3 linked regions of the Daphnia pulex genome follow. The protein of the gene in region 3 purifies or fractionates together with the protein of the main gene of each other region. This does not show direct contact. Links are inferred from orthologs where the notes say so. Each region holds a gene or a part of one and is shown on either strand. Other genes may lie near its edges.

Region 1 (4,148 bases), about 5.2 Mb from region 3:
GTCCGTTGAATTAGGGGTACGCTCCAGGTACTGCTTGTCAATCAATGTCTCAATGCACTTTTTTATCATGCAAATGGGAGGAGCAAATCGGGGTTGGGACTGGCTCAACACCTCCTGAATTAAGACCATGTGGCGAAGAATCTTCCTAGATTTCATGATTCGAACGATTGTAGCCTTGGAAAGCCAAATGAAAAAAAAAAAAAAACTTTAGTTTGTTTTCGGATTTCTAACGCATTACGCTAAAATATTCGTATAATTCTTACCTGAAGGTACATTTTCCTGTCTTCGTTTACAGAAGAATGCGTCGTCTCGGTTTCTTGGACAGTCTCCTTTTGGATAGTGTTGTTAATACGAAACTTGGTTCGTTTGTTACTATAATCCATATTGAGGGAAATGACTGTAGATGGTTGGAAAACTTCGACAGTGTCACTAGTTACTGCCAAAAGCTTTGAGTCGACTAAGCTCTGAAGGACCTTTTGGAATTGATCCGAGTTAAGCTTCGTGGCTTCCATGAGTTCTCCACAAGTCACGGAATTGGTCTTTTGAAAGACAAGAAGCATTGCCATTTGGAAGGTTCCCATGGTGATGAAGTAACGCTTTTTCAAGTAGTTCAGTTTCAGCTCTCCGTAACTCAAGTGATGTAGCCATGCAAGCTTCCGGCCGTTAAACTGTAGACGATAGAAATCTTCAAATTCTTGGACCGATTTTTCCAACTCTTGGGGTACGGCGAAATCGGTAGGGCAGACTTGTCTAGGCCACGCACCGGTTTGCAAGACATAGATGGAGAAGTTGAGACCTAATTCAATCATCCGATCTTTGTTCAGCAGATTAAACTTGTTGTTCAGGTCTGATGAGACGGACATGTCCGTGAACATTCGATGAAGTTTGTTGGTAAACTCATATCCGCATGCCTGTTTCAATCGGTTGATCATTGCCTCTTCAGCGTCCATACTTTGACTCTGTTGTGAAATCAATCGATGTGCCAACTTCCGTGAGTAAAAAGCTTGATAAACATCCTTGTCGTCGATGTACTTGAATACAGTAATGCACTGTGTTAACTTATCGTCAACTTCGGTGTCACTACCGCCTTTTGTTGACTTCTTCAAGAGAGTATCACAATACTTGGCAAGTAGTTCTGGAGACCTACAATTTTGTTTAGTATTGAAGCGATGGTTGACGACTGCAGCACAGGCCATATCTAGAGCGCTGCTAAATAGCTGATCATTACTGAAAACAGTGTTGGTGATCTCCTTGTACTTGGAGTGGACACTAAGCATGCCCTCTACAAACTGGGCAGCAATGTTGTCTCCTGACAGGTTAGTCACTGTTCGCAATCCTTGTTGTTTGATGTGTTCCATGACGTGCGACACCAGAACAGTCAAACCTCCCGGAATCGACTGAACAAATTTTAGAAAACAATTAAAATTTATACTACGAGGCAATAAGATAAGCTCTCACCTTCAACAACGCGTACGCATTTCGAAGATCTTGTTGGAGTTCTTGTTGAACCATTGTCGGGCACTCGTTGTGGATAGCCGCCAAGTGATCTGCTACCATTCGTTTTTCGCATTCAGTTCGAACTTTACTGTAAGAGCTTGGGTGCAGGAATTTCCGACTACGTAAATCTTCTTCGTCCCGACGTTGCAAAACTTTTTCCATATACAAGGAAATTGTGCATTCCTGTAACAAGCGACTAGCTTCTTGCCTAAATTTGACCAAACAACTGTAATATGCAAATTTTTAACATTTTAATTATTTCTTACTTGTAGTATTCACCGGTCGCTTCAAGAAATGGCCCTTCAAAAACAGCCTCATAAAGTTCGAGGGTGTTCTTCTTCTTGTATTCCTCGACTGAAACAAACGACTGAATCACACCCTGAATTGTTGATGACTTTTCATTATACAAAGATTGTCCAGTTCGGTCACAATGTATGCCTCCCAAAAGTAATCTCAGCAAGTCGGCTTTCAATGGCTCTATCATATACTTCTTCCACAAATCCAAACCTAGCAAGCAAGTTTCGATAAGGATTCAGTACACCAAAAAAATTACAAATAGTGATTACCCAATTCTCCGATTTCTTTCATTTGTTCAGGTGATTCATAAGACAATGTCCCATAAAGAAGCTCGGCATCAGATGCTTTTTGTTTCTTGATGTGTTGGGTATTAAGGTATCTGTATTTGAATTAAAAGCATGTATTAACTTGTTTTATTAGAGAAAAGAAATGAATAAATTACGAGTAAAGTTTGTGCAAATAGTCCATTCCTTGGCTATATTGCTGCCAAAGTGTGTAATACACAGTCAGAAGCTGTTCTTCACTGGTGCCGTTCACTTGGATGAAAAGAGATTTAACATGCTCCTCCAAAAACTTTTTAGTTTCTTGGTACAATTTCTCAGCTAAAGGTTCTGGGTAAGCCACGCAGAGGGAATACACATCACTGAATCGATTGTACCATATAGTATGAGGAACATTTCCCAGAGTTACAACACCTTTAACTGTTTCCTTTAAATCAGCCCAAGTTGTGGTAAAGTCTACACGCTTCGGTTTAAGAGACATTTTGTGCAGTTATTAGAACAGCTGAATCAAAGTCCAAAAAGTGGATCATAGGAATTTTACAAAAAAAGCCAGAGTCCCTATTTCCAAGTTCAACGGGAGAAAACCAAAACTGATCTTCGTACAAACGATCATGCAATGACTACTGGCAATAGCAATGAAAAGACCTTAAGTTATTTACTTGTTTTTCGTATCGTAAATGAAGGACAAAGTTTCAGATTCCTTGAATAATCAATTTACTCGAGAATCTTAAGACCCTGGGGTTAAATAAGAATACAATTGGTTTCACAGAACAAGGATTCTGAAGATTAATAAAACGATTGCGCAGTGTGGGTTCGTCTGCTCTGGCCCCTTTGGCCTTCGCGAAGAAACGGAAAAGTTGTTTAGTTTATCATCAGATGGCAGCTCATTATTAGTAGTTATTCGTCTGCTGCGTATCACGAAAGAAAAAGTTAACCATAATACGAAAATAGTTTGTTTTTTTTTTACTTGGAATTCATAAACATTAATATCAAATCAAGTGTACAGGTTAGTATGGCTGGAACTGAGGACTACTCGTTCTATTACAGTTTAGAAAATTCTCCCTTTTGGATAAAAAAAGCTGATTCTGCTGCTTCTGCAGTAACTGATGGTAGGATACAACATGAAAACAAAGCTATTACGTCGCCGAAATATAGATATGGTATTAACAGTGACTTTTATCATCACACATTTTTTTGCAATGACTTTACATAATTTTTATTTTCTTGTAAGATGATATGATTGATGCAAGTAGAATCCCAAATCCCAGTTTTGGTATTATGAGACTAGCAGCTGAAAATCTACTATGCCATCCATTTTTAGTTCTGCGAAGACAGTGTCAGGTGAAAAATTCTTTACGTTAATTTGATAGTAAATTTTTTAATACTGCTTATCTGTAGGTTAATGTATTTTCTAGAAAATACCATACACTACCTTTCAGCTTGGTCCCAGTAGTCATTAGGCTACACCAAAGACAAAGCATGACTGTGTTATGGAAAGGAATTGGCAGTGCTTTAATTGTGAGAGGTCTCACATTAGCCATTGAGGATGTACTGAGCAAGATAACACCATGGCCAAAGTAATTTAGCATATAAAGTGGCAAATGTTGCCATGTAAGCTGTCCTCTTGTGTTCATTGAAATAGCCAGTGTGTGTTTATATTTAGACTGACAGAATATTCACTTGTTTTTGTTTTTTTTTTCTTTTTTTTTTAGAGAAATTGATCGTAACAGCTCATTGAAAGCAATTGGACACCACATCCTCTTGAAAAGGTATCACAAAAACACATTGAAATTGTCATACGACAATTATTAGCAGATATCTAAAGAATTTTTAAATCTATTTTTTGGTTCCCTAGCGTTTCCCTAGCTGTCGTGATCCCATTTTATGCAGCAAGTGTTGTAGAAACTGTTCAATCTGATATTGCAAGTGAAAAGCCGGGTATCTTTGATGTTTTTCAAGAAGGGATTTATAGGTTCTTAAGCTGGTCTGCCCCCCAAACAGGTAAAACATTTTTCCAAAATATTTACTAGGATTCTCTATTGCATCATTTAAAATATTTTTAGGTCGATTGTT
Region 2 (4,036 bases), on a different chromosome or scaffold from region 3:
GACAACTTAGTTTCCTTTCTTGAACCTAGCTTCAATTTACTCAGTTTTGAAGGTTTCGATGCAGTGGCAGAGGGTTTTGAAACCTTAGTGTTGACAACGAAATCGTTGTCACTATCATCTGATGATCTATCGCCATTCATGGCTGCATAATTTATCACTTTCCGAGTTCTTCAAAGAGATATAAAAATAAGTCAGCATACATTTATTCCATGAGTTATCAAGTAGTACCTGGTATTTGGCTTTGCAACTTCCATTTTAAGCACATTGAAAAGTAAGACCTTCAATCAAATTCCAAACAAAGATTACGCCTTGTTTGAAATAGCGGCGAAAATCACTCTCTCTCTTTCGGTTAGTCTTCAAGTGTAGTCTGCTATCACTTAGGAGCCGCCTGGCGGTCAGATTCAGAAGGGGGAGGGTCGGAGGGAGAATAAACGGGAAACGGAGGATGGGCATGGGATACAGGCCTGCCTGAACAGGGTTATAATTTTCTAAAATCTGGTTTATTGAGTTCTAGTTTGCGGCTGGTTTGCGGTTTCCTTTTTTTTAACAAACAACAACATAAAAATAATTATAAACTAAATATATATGTATGTTGGGTTGGTTGAGGATTTATATAAGGATGCCACTTCACTAACTACAAAGTTTTCAAACTAAGAACAAACAATTTCATCTGTATAAGCCAAAGGCTTACATTCACATCTGTATTGATGTCTTCATCCACAGTGGTCTAAGAATAGCACATAAACAAGTAGAAAGCAATCAACAGTCACAGGAAAAATACCGATTTTACATAAACACACAAACAGGCTTACGGTACGTTACATTCGGGAAAAAAGGGTGGGTATACAGAAATACCAATATATACCTACTCTTTAGAGTGGCAATCATGGTCAATCAAATTGTTACCAATCAAAGACAGTTCTTCTCAAACTACAGTATAAACAATTGGAGAAAATAAAGGTGGTTTGAGAAAGACACGATATTTCAAAGACGTGAACAAGAGGGGCCGTTTAAAAAAGAGGGACATTGGCAGGTCAGTACTCTGTACGGCGAAAGTCGTCAAGGAATCACAGCAGATATTGTTTTCATAGTATAAATGAGAGTCAAGGTGGACGAAGATTCAAAGTAAACTAACCGATACAAATACGAATTCAATAACTCACTCATCCATCAGCAATTATCATGTCTTAAAAAACCACATAGTTAATACACTCATCTGAAACGATTCAAGGTGAGAAGAGAGAAAAACTTAATACAGCAAAGCGAAACGAATACGGGAAGAAGCTGAGGGTTGATCACCATCAGTGTAGTTCTTCCTTGGCGTGCAGCACATTTTGGTTGGCTCGATCATTGGCCCATTCAACGAAATCGTCAAAAAGGCTAGGCCAAGCTTCTGTGTCGTCGTAGCGGGAAAGATCATTTCCCACAGCGTCCACTAAGTGTAGAAACATGCACCATGTATCCCTGAAGAAGAGAATTTAAATTTAAATTGCATTGAAATGCCCAACTGTTGGTGATTTGTACCTGGGTATAGCTCGAACAGGTGGAGGAGACTGTTCAAGAAATTCGATCCAACGATCAAGGAGAGGGACGGGTCGATGAGTAAATACAAGCCGCCAAAGTGAAACGGCTACATCAACAGGCAAAGAGCGTTGACCACACTCTACATCCAGAGCGAAGCGAAACGCATAGCGGTAAACGTCACTGAAAACTTCGCTGTCCTCTACTTCTTTTACTAATTGTTCTAAGCTGAACTTGAGACTACGAGGCGAATCTGTTCCTAATAGTCGACATCCCTGGATAAATGATTACACATTAATTTCAATTTTTTAAATAAATTATTTGTTAGTGTTGTTACTTGTAAGAATTCATTCTTGCTGAGCTTGCCCATTTGAGCTGCATCGCACTTCCATGCAAATAAAAGAATACGAAAGTCGTCAGCCGCTAAATCCAAATCAGCACACAGATGAAGTATTCCATCAGTGGTTATGGCATCTTCAATCCTGTCTTCAGTATTTCCACAGTAGCTTTCATAGAAGGCCACTAAATTGTTTTCTGACACTTCCACTGCACTAGTTCCATTCCCCATTCCACCAGTGCTTAATGCACCATTGATGGTATTGTTGTTTGTCTTCTTAATATCACCTGTTTGAGATGTAAAATTTAGTAAGTGTATGGGTGGCTTCATAACAAAGAAATGTTTATTCACCTGAGCTATTACTCCCTCTTCCAACCAGTGGTGGAATGAGCACATAAAAGGGCCTACGCATCTCCCCTTTAGAGTCTCTAGCGTCCAACCCACTTCCATTCACATATGTTTCAGAGCTGATGACCAGGTTAGAGTCCTCTAGCTCTTCCGATTGTGAAGGACGGTATGTATCTGTGTGACCATGAAAAAGGATTGGGTTACACAAAGGTACATTATAAATTAAATTTTCAACTAACCAGAGTCTTCTAGTTTACTTGATGAAAGAGAATAATTTCCAGGAGCAACGGATGATCTGGTATTCGCCTCACTTTTAACACAGGAGCAGCAATTCCCCATGGATGGATTTCACAAACCCGAATCGCGCGCTATAGCCTCACAACTTCAATCCCTTCCCTTCGATTCACTTTTTCTTTTTAAATCGTAACTAGCACATCACCATTGAGCCCTGATCTCGTTTTACGTGAAAATCTCGTAAGATATAAAGCTACCCAATATATAAAGGAGAATCATGTAGAAAATGAAAGGAAAACCCTGGCACACAAAACACTTGTGGGGGGAGGGGGTGACGTTTAGTCCGAAGCACACAGGCATCACAAAGCCTCCTTGCGTCCGAAAAATACACTTTACACTAGATTCAAAATGGCGGACGAAAACGAAACTTCAGTATGTATACAACTCCACATTTTTTAAATTTTAAATTAATAATTCAAGCTTTCATATTGCCACTTTCATTTAGGCCCCTGTAATTACTGTGGAAGAGCCACTTGATTTGATTCGCCTAAGTCTCGATGAAAGAATTTACGTCAAAATGCGAAATGAACGAGAGTTGAGAGGCCGGCTACATGTAAGTCGAGCACATTAAATTGCTTTTTGCTATAAAATTGTGTTCCCAAAATATATTGTATTATTGTTTATGGTCCATAGGCATATGATCAACATTTGAACATGGTGCTAGGTGAGGTAGAAGAAACAGTAACCACTGTTGAAATTGATGAAGAAACTTATGAAGAAGTTTACAGAACAACTAAACGCAACATTCCCATGCTCTTTGTACGTGGAGATGGTGTGATTCTGGTCTCCCCTCCAATGAGGGGTTCAGTTTGACAAATTAACTCAAATTCTTTCATTGTTTTGAAATGTCAAAGGCTGAATACATTGCTTTCTGATTATCTAATTAGACCACATGTGTCACTATCATTTAAGAATTCCCTAACTGTGTTTACAGTTATGATGCATTTAGGCTCTTTAATGACATATGCCTTGCATAAATAAAATATGTTAATTGTGTTAAAAACTTCATACAATAATTGGGTTAAAACTATGATAATATGATGATATGATACTACTTTTTTTTTAGAAAAGGAATGTTAGAGTTAAATATGGAATGAGATTTTAAAAGATAAATAGAACAACGACTGTTCATAGTTTAAAACGTCTAGAATTAAAAATTTATAATAACAAAACAATTAAGAATTTAGACCTATATTTGATTTACACGGAAAAATTTGAAACTTTTTAGTCCAATCCAGACGGCTTTTCAGTAAACCAATGAAATTGCCCGAAACTGTTTTCTTCCAAAAAAACAAATGACAGTCTAGCATTTTAAGTCGTCTGCTCTTAGACACGGCTGCGACACGTGTTGTCCATCGTTAGCGTAAGTTAAAAGCGGTGTTACTTTTACATTTTCATTTTGACAATCGTTTGTGTGCTCAACATGAAGAAACAATCTAAAACCAATAGCAAATTTGTTGGGAAACCTAAAGGTGGACCTATCAAGAAACCAATCCAAAGCCAAACAAAAAAATTAAATGGTAACAATGTCGCCGT
Region 3 (3,428 bases):
TTTCATCACTCAATAATTTTATGTCTGACAACCAGTTTCTTTTCATCACTATAGAATACCTCTTGTTATTGTTGGTAATAAAACAGACCTTCACCGTGAAAGAGTAGTCAGCACAGAAGAGGGCAAAAGGCTTGCCGACACTTGGAAAGCCTCATTTTATGAAGTTTCTGCTAGGTCACACGAGGTATGCTGATTAATATTCATTTGGAGATTTGAAATTGTACTTTCTATTAAGAATTTTTTTTTTTTTCCTTTCATCTCTAGTCTGTCTGCGAAATTTTTAACCGACTGATAACGGAAATGGAGAAAGCAGATAGCAGTAATGGAAACGAAAAGAGCAGTTGTGTTCTGTCCTGAACGGGTATGAAATGTAGAAAAATCTACCAGCGCCAATTTTTTTCCCTTCTAATATTACGCAGTTTTTCATAACGACCGTTATCTCGGTTTCTTGGATTTGTGAAGCAACGTTGAAAAGCTTTCATGGTGAGCGAAATACATTTATCATTTGTACTATGTAAGTGGTTCTTATCTTGTATAAACGATGTTCACCAAATTTAGGTTTTGAACATTAAATACGATTAACATTTTGCAGGAAAGTTGTATTTCTCGATTTTGAATATCTAAAATGACATGGGGGAAAAGATGAAATAACGCAACAGATCTTTTTTTCTCAGAAAAAGATACACACCGTGCTGAAAAGTGCATCGTAGTGGAACTGAACTTAAACAATGTTCAACGCATCCGTTCAAGAAGAATGGTTAATACATGTACCCCTACTTCCCTTTCATCCACCATAGACATTTCAAAGAAAAGAACGAAACAATGTTTCATTCGTGACAATTCCCCGATCCGATTTTTTCGATAATAGATACATAATTATACACCACTTTAACTTAAATCCATGTTCGAATCACTGGATCCACCTGCAGCATTTCCATGATGTCCGGAGCCATCTTTCTGGATCGAGTCGAAAAGAGTCTGAAAATGGTAAGTGTAAAAATTTTAAGTTTAGGCGAATAGTACGTGCTGGTTTTTGGCAGTTGTTATTTAGTTACCTGAAGATCGGGTGATGAACGAATATGCAGAACGAACTCGTTAAGTTGTGGATTTTTGTCCGAATCAGGAATGATCAGCAATGCAGTCACGGCTCGCATGGCAGATCGCTATTTTAAATATTTCGTTTGATTACCAATTCATTTGATTCGGTTCTATAAAGTAATAAATCAATCACCTTAAGTTCATTTTGCATTTCATATTCTTGTTTGACTGCATTCGCCTTAACTCTAGCCGTGCAAGTAGTTCGTAGGGGTTCGACTAATCGATCGAGGCGTTGAAGAACGGCAGTAGGACACAACGTGGCCAGACGGGCAACCATTAAATAAGTCAGCATTTTGATGTCGTTGTGATCTGTAAGAAGTTGTAAATGAACGTGAGCTGTAAGTAACATCGTTTTTGTTCCAAGAAACAAAACACCAACCTTTCAATCCCAGTTCAACGTGATTCAAAAATTCGAAAACATCCAATCGATCAAGACATGAATCCAGAAGGGTATACATGCATTCGAAAGCGGCTTTACGAAGGTCAAGACCATCGTCAACGGTGTGCTTAAAGGGACCCATTTCCACTTCGCGGACCAACTCTTTCTAAAAATTATAATTAGTTATAATTTTTTTTTATTTAGCATATTTTAGTTTTAAGAAATTGATTCCATCACTAGAATACTTACTCTGACTTTGGTTTCGTTATAGAGCTGAGGCAAAACGGAATCGAGTAAGTCTCGGACCAAGGAAGGCTTGTTGTGTGCTGCCGAATTAAAGGCAATTAATGCCACTCGTCGCACATTCAAGTCATCATCCTATTACAGAATCAATTAAATACTGATCCGTTCTAATCAACCCCAATGAAATTGATCATTACCTGTAAGGTTTGAAGGAAATCGCCCATACATTGCTTCAGCAGAGGATCAATGGACTGGACTTGATCAGAAATTGTGAATTTGGCTGCTGTGACGATCGTGGTTCTCATCAACGCACTAGGGCTGTTCAGAGCTGCTCGAAGTCGTGGAAGCAATCCCTCTGGGTCTGTGAGAGTAAGCTTTCCCAAACACTCCGCCACAACATTGCGTGTTCCTTCTTCGTTACACTCGCAGTGACGGAAGAGAAGATCCCAAATTTGGGGTACGAAAGGGCGCAGTTGTGCAATGGCCTCGGTTCCAAGTGACAGCGAAGTAATCACTTCCTTTAACGAGTGGAGCAACAAATACTGACGCCGTGATTGAGTTTCAATCTGAGTAAGAATGAAGGGCAAGAAAGCTGGAAGATTTCCCACTGCTACTGAACCGAGGGCGTGCGAAGCTGCAGATTTTACCTAAAGAAAACGGATATAGATTGATGTTGACGTTAGAAAAGATTAGAAATACTTCTTCATTTGGTGGGCCGAAGGAATCGATGATTGCTTGTCCCAACCCTGGGACTTGGTGAAGATCCATTCTTTTGCCAATTTCTCCCATGCAGAGCAGGGCAAAGATGTGTTGCCAATCAGAATGAGGTCTCTGAGCTTCCTGAAGAAAATTCTGTACCAAAGTAAAAGCTTCAGAAACAGGTTGCGTCACAACCAGTGAAGCAACAGCCTGGGCGACAGAATGATGGGCAGTCTTGTGGAGACCAGGTTTTGACGCCAAATTCATCAGACACATCAACAAATCGCGGTAGCCAAGACCAGATCCTGAATGGAAAGTAAAAGTGAACAGTTAATATTGTTAATAAGTTGTCTTCTAAGTAATACAGTTGAAATTAAGAGAAAAAAAATCACTAACCCGGAGCATTAAACTCGACCAAAGCCTGTAGGAAATCGAGAAGGGATCCCAGAGCCACACCTTGAAGCAAAGGTGAGCGCAAGAGATTGAAGACTTCGGACAAAATGCCTCCATTAACTCCACCGGTTTGAAACGCCGAACGCTGATTCCGCGCAACAGAAGTGAGCAAATGAAGGGTTAGCTGCGCGATGTGCAAATCAGATTCCGACAGCAGAGGCGGTATTTCGGTTAAAACCGCATGCAGTAGTTCCGGTGTTAGCGCAGCGCTAAAAAAAAAACAAAGAAAGAGAAGTCTTAAAGGGAACCAAGAGGAAAAACATAAAACTTTTAAGTAAGTTATTACCTGTAGTTGTTGACGATACGATCGAGCAAAGCAAGGGTAGTTAGTTTAAGTGCCCGCTGGTTCTTACGCAAAAATCCCGCAAGAATTGGAAGTGCTTCGGGCAACAATGGGCTTATATTGATGTGTAACGGAGACGAAGCAATTTTTGTTAAAGCTTTGACTGTCGTTAACCGGGTAATCTCGTTTCGAAGACGATCCAAAAAGATGGGGAGGCATACCATTAGTTGATCTGAGCAAAGAAGTTGTGAATTCAAAAGTATGCAGAATTTA

The links.
Region 1: the proteins of cullin-associated NEDD8-dissociated protein 1-like (region 3) and cullin-2-like purify together in Homo sapiens (affinity purification with western blotting; 7 studies listed by BioGRID and IntAct, with this or other methods). This does not show direct contact. The link is inferred for Daphnia pulex from reciprocal best matches to the Homo sapiens genes CAND1 and CUL2.
Region 2: the proteins of cullin-associated NEDD8-dissociated protein 1-like (region 3) and DCN1-like protein 3 purify together in Homo sapiens (affinity purification with western blotting; 3 studies listed by BioGRID, with this or other methods). This does not show direct contact. The link is inferred for Daphnia pulex from reciprocal best matches to the Homo sapiens genes CAND1 and DCUN1D3.

The regions. Positions count from the first base shown.
Region 1 is NC_060021.1:10,405,237-10,409,384, forward strand, and holds the start of cullin-2-like, read right to left. Parts: upstream 2,920-4,148; 5' UTR 2,557-2,919; coding exon 2,237-2,556; intron 2,174-2,236; coding exon 2,064-2,173; intron 2,005-2,063; coding exon 1,764-2,004; intron 1,706-1,763; coding exon 1,459-1,705; intron 1,398-1,458; coding exon 264-1,397; intron 175-263; coding exon 1-174. Other genes in the region: solute carrier family 25 member 46-like, read left to right, coding at 3,088-3,235, 3,307-3,416, 3,474-3,652, 3,788-3,844, 3,931-4,076, 4,139-4,148.
Region 2 is NC_060026.1:10,627,822-10,631,857, forward strand, and holds DCN1-like protein 3, read right to left. Parts: upstream 2,588-4,036; 5' UTR 2,546-2,587; coding exon 2,446-2,545; intron 2,381-2,445; coding exon 2,210-2,380; intron 2,146-2,209; coding exon 1,859-2,145; intron 1,797-1,858; coding exon 1,525-1,796; intron 1,465-1,524; coding exon 1,302-1,464; 3' UTR 665-1,301; downstream 1-664. Other genes in the region: uncharacterized protein LOC124205018, read right to left, coding at 1-168, 229-254; nucleolar complex protein 2 homolog, read left to right, coding at 2,849-2,872, 2,946-3,053, 3,134-3,302, 3,913-4,036. UniProt on the Homo sapiens protein: Contributes to the neddylation of all cullins by transferring NEDD8 from N-terminally acetylated NEDD8-conjugating E2s enzyme to different cullin C-terminal domain-RBX complexes and may play a role in the cell cycle progression by regulating the SCF ubiquitin E3 ligase complex, after UV damage.
Region 3 is NC_060021.1:5,208,451-5,211,878, forward strand, and holds the end of cullin-associated NEDD8-dissociated protein 1-like, read right to left. Parts: intron 3,388-3,428; coding exon 3,159-3,387; intron 3,082-3,158; coding exon 2,816-3,081; intron 2,725-2,815; coding exon 2,420-2,724; intron 2,368-2,419; coding exon 1,918-2,367; intron 1,856-1,917; coding exon 1,727-1,855; intron 1,644-1,726; coding exon 1,478-1,643; intron 1,408-1,477; coding exon 1,232-1,407; intron 1,164-1,231; coding exon 1,056-1,163; intron 979-1,055; coding exon 889-978; 3' UTR 585-888; downstream 1-584. Other genes in the region: GTP-binding protein Rheb-like, read left to right, coding at 55-184, 265-357. UniProt on the Homo sapiens protein: Key assembly factor of SCF (SKP1-CUL1-F-box protein) E3 ubiquitin ligase complexes that promotes the exchange of the substrate-recognition F-box subunit in SCF complexes, thereby playing a key role in the cellular repertoire of SCF complexes.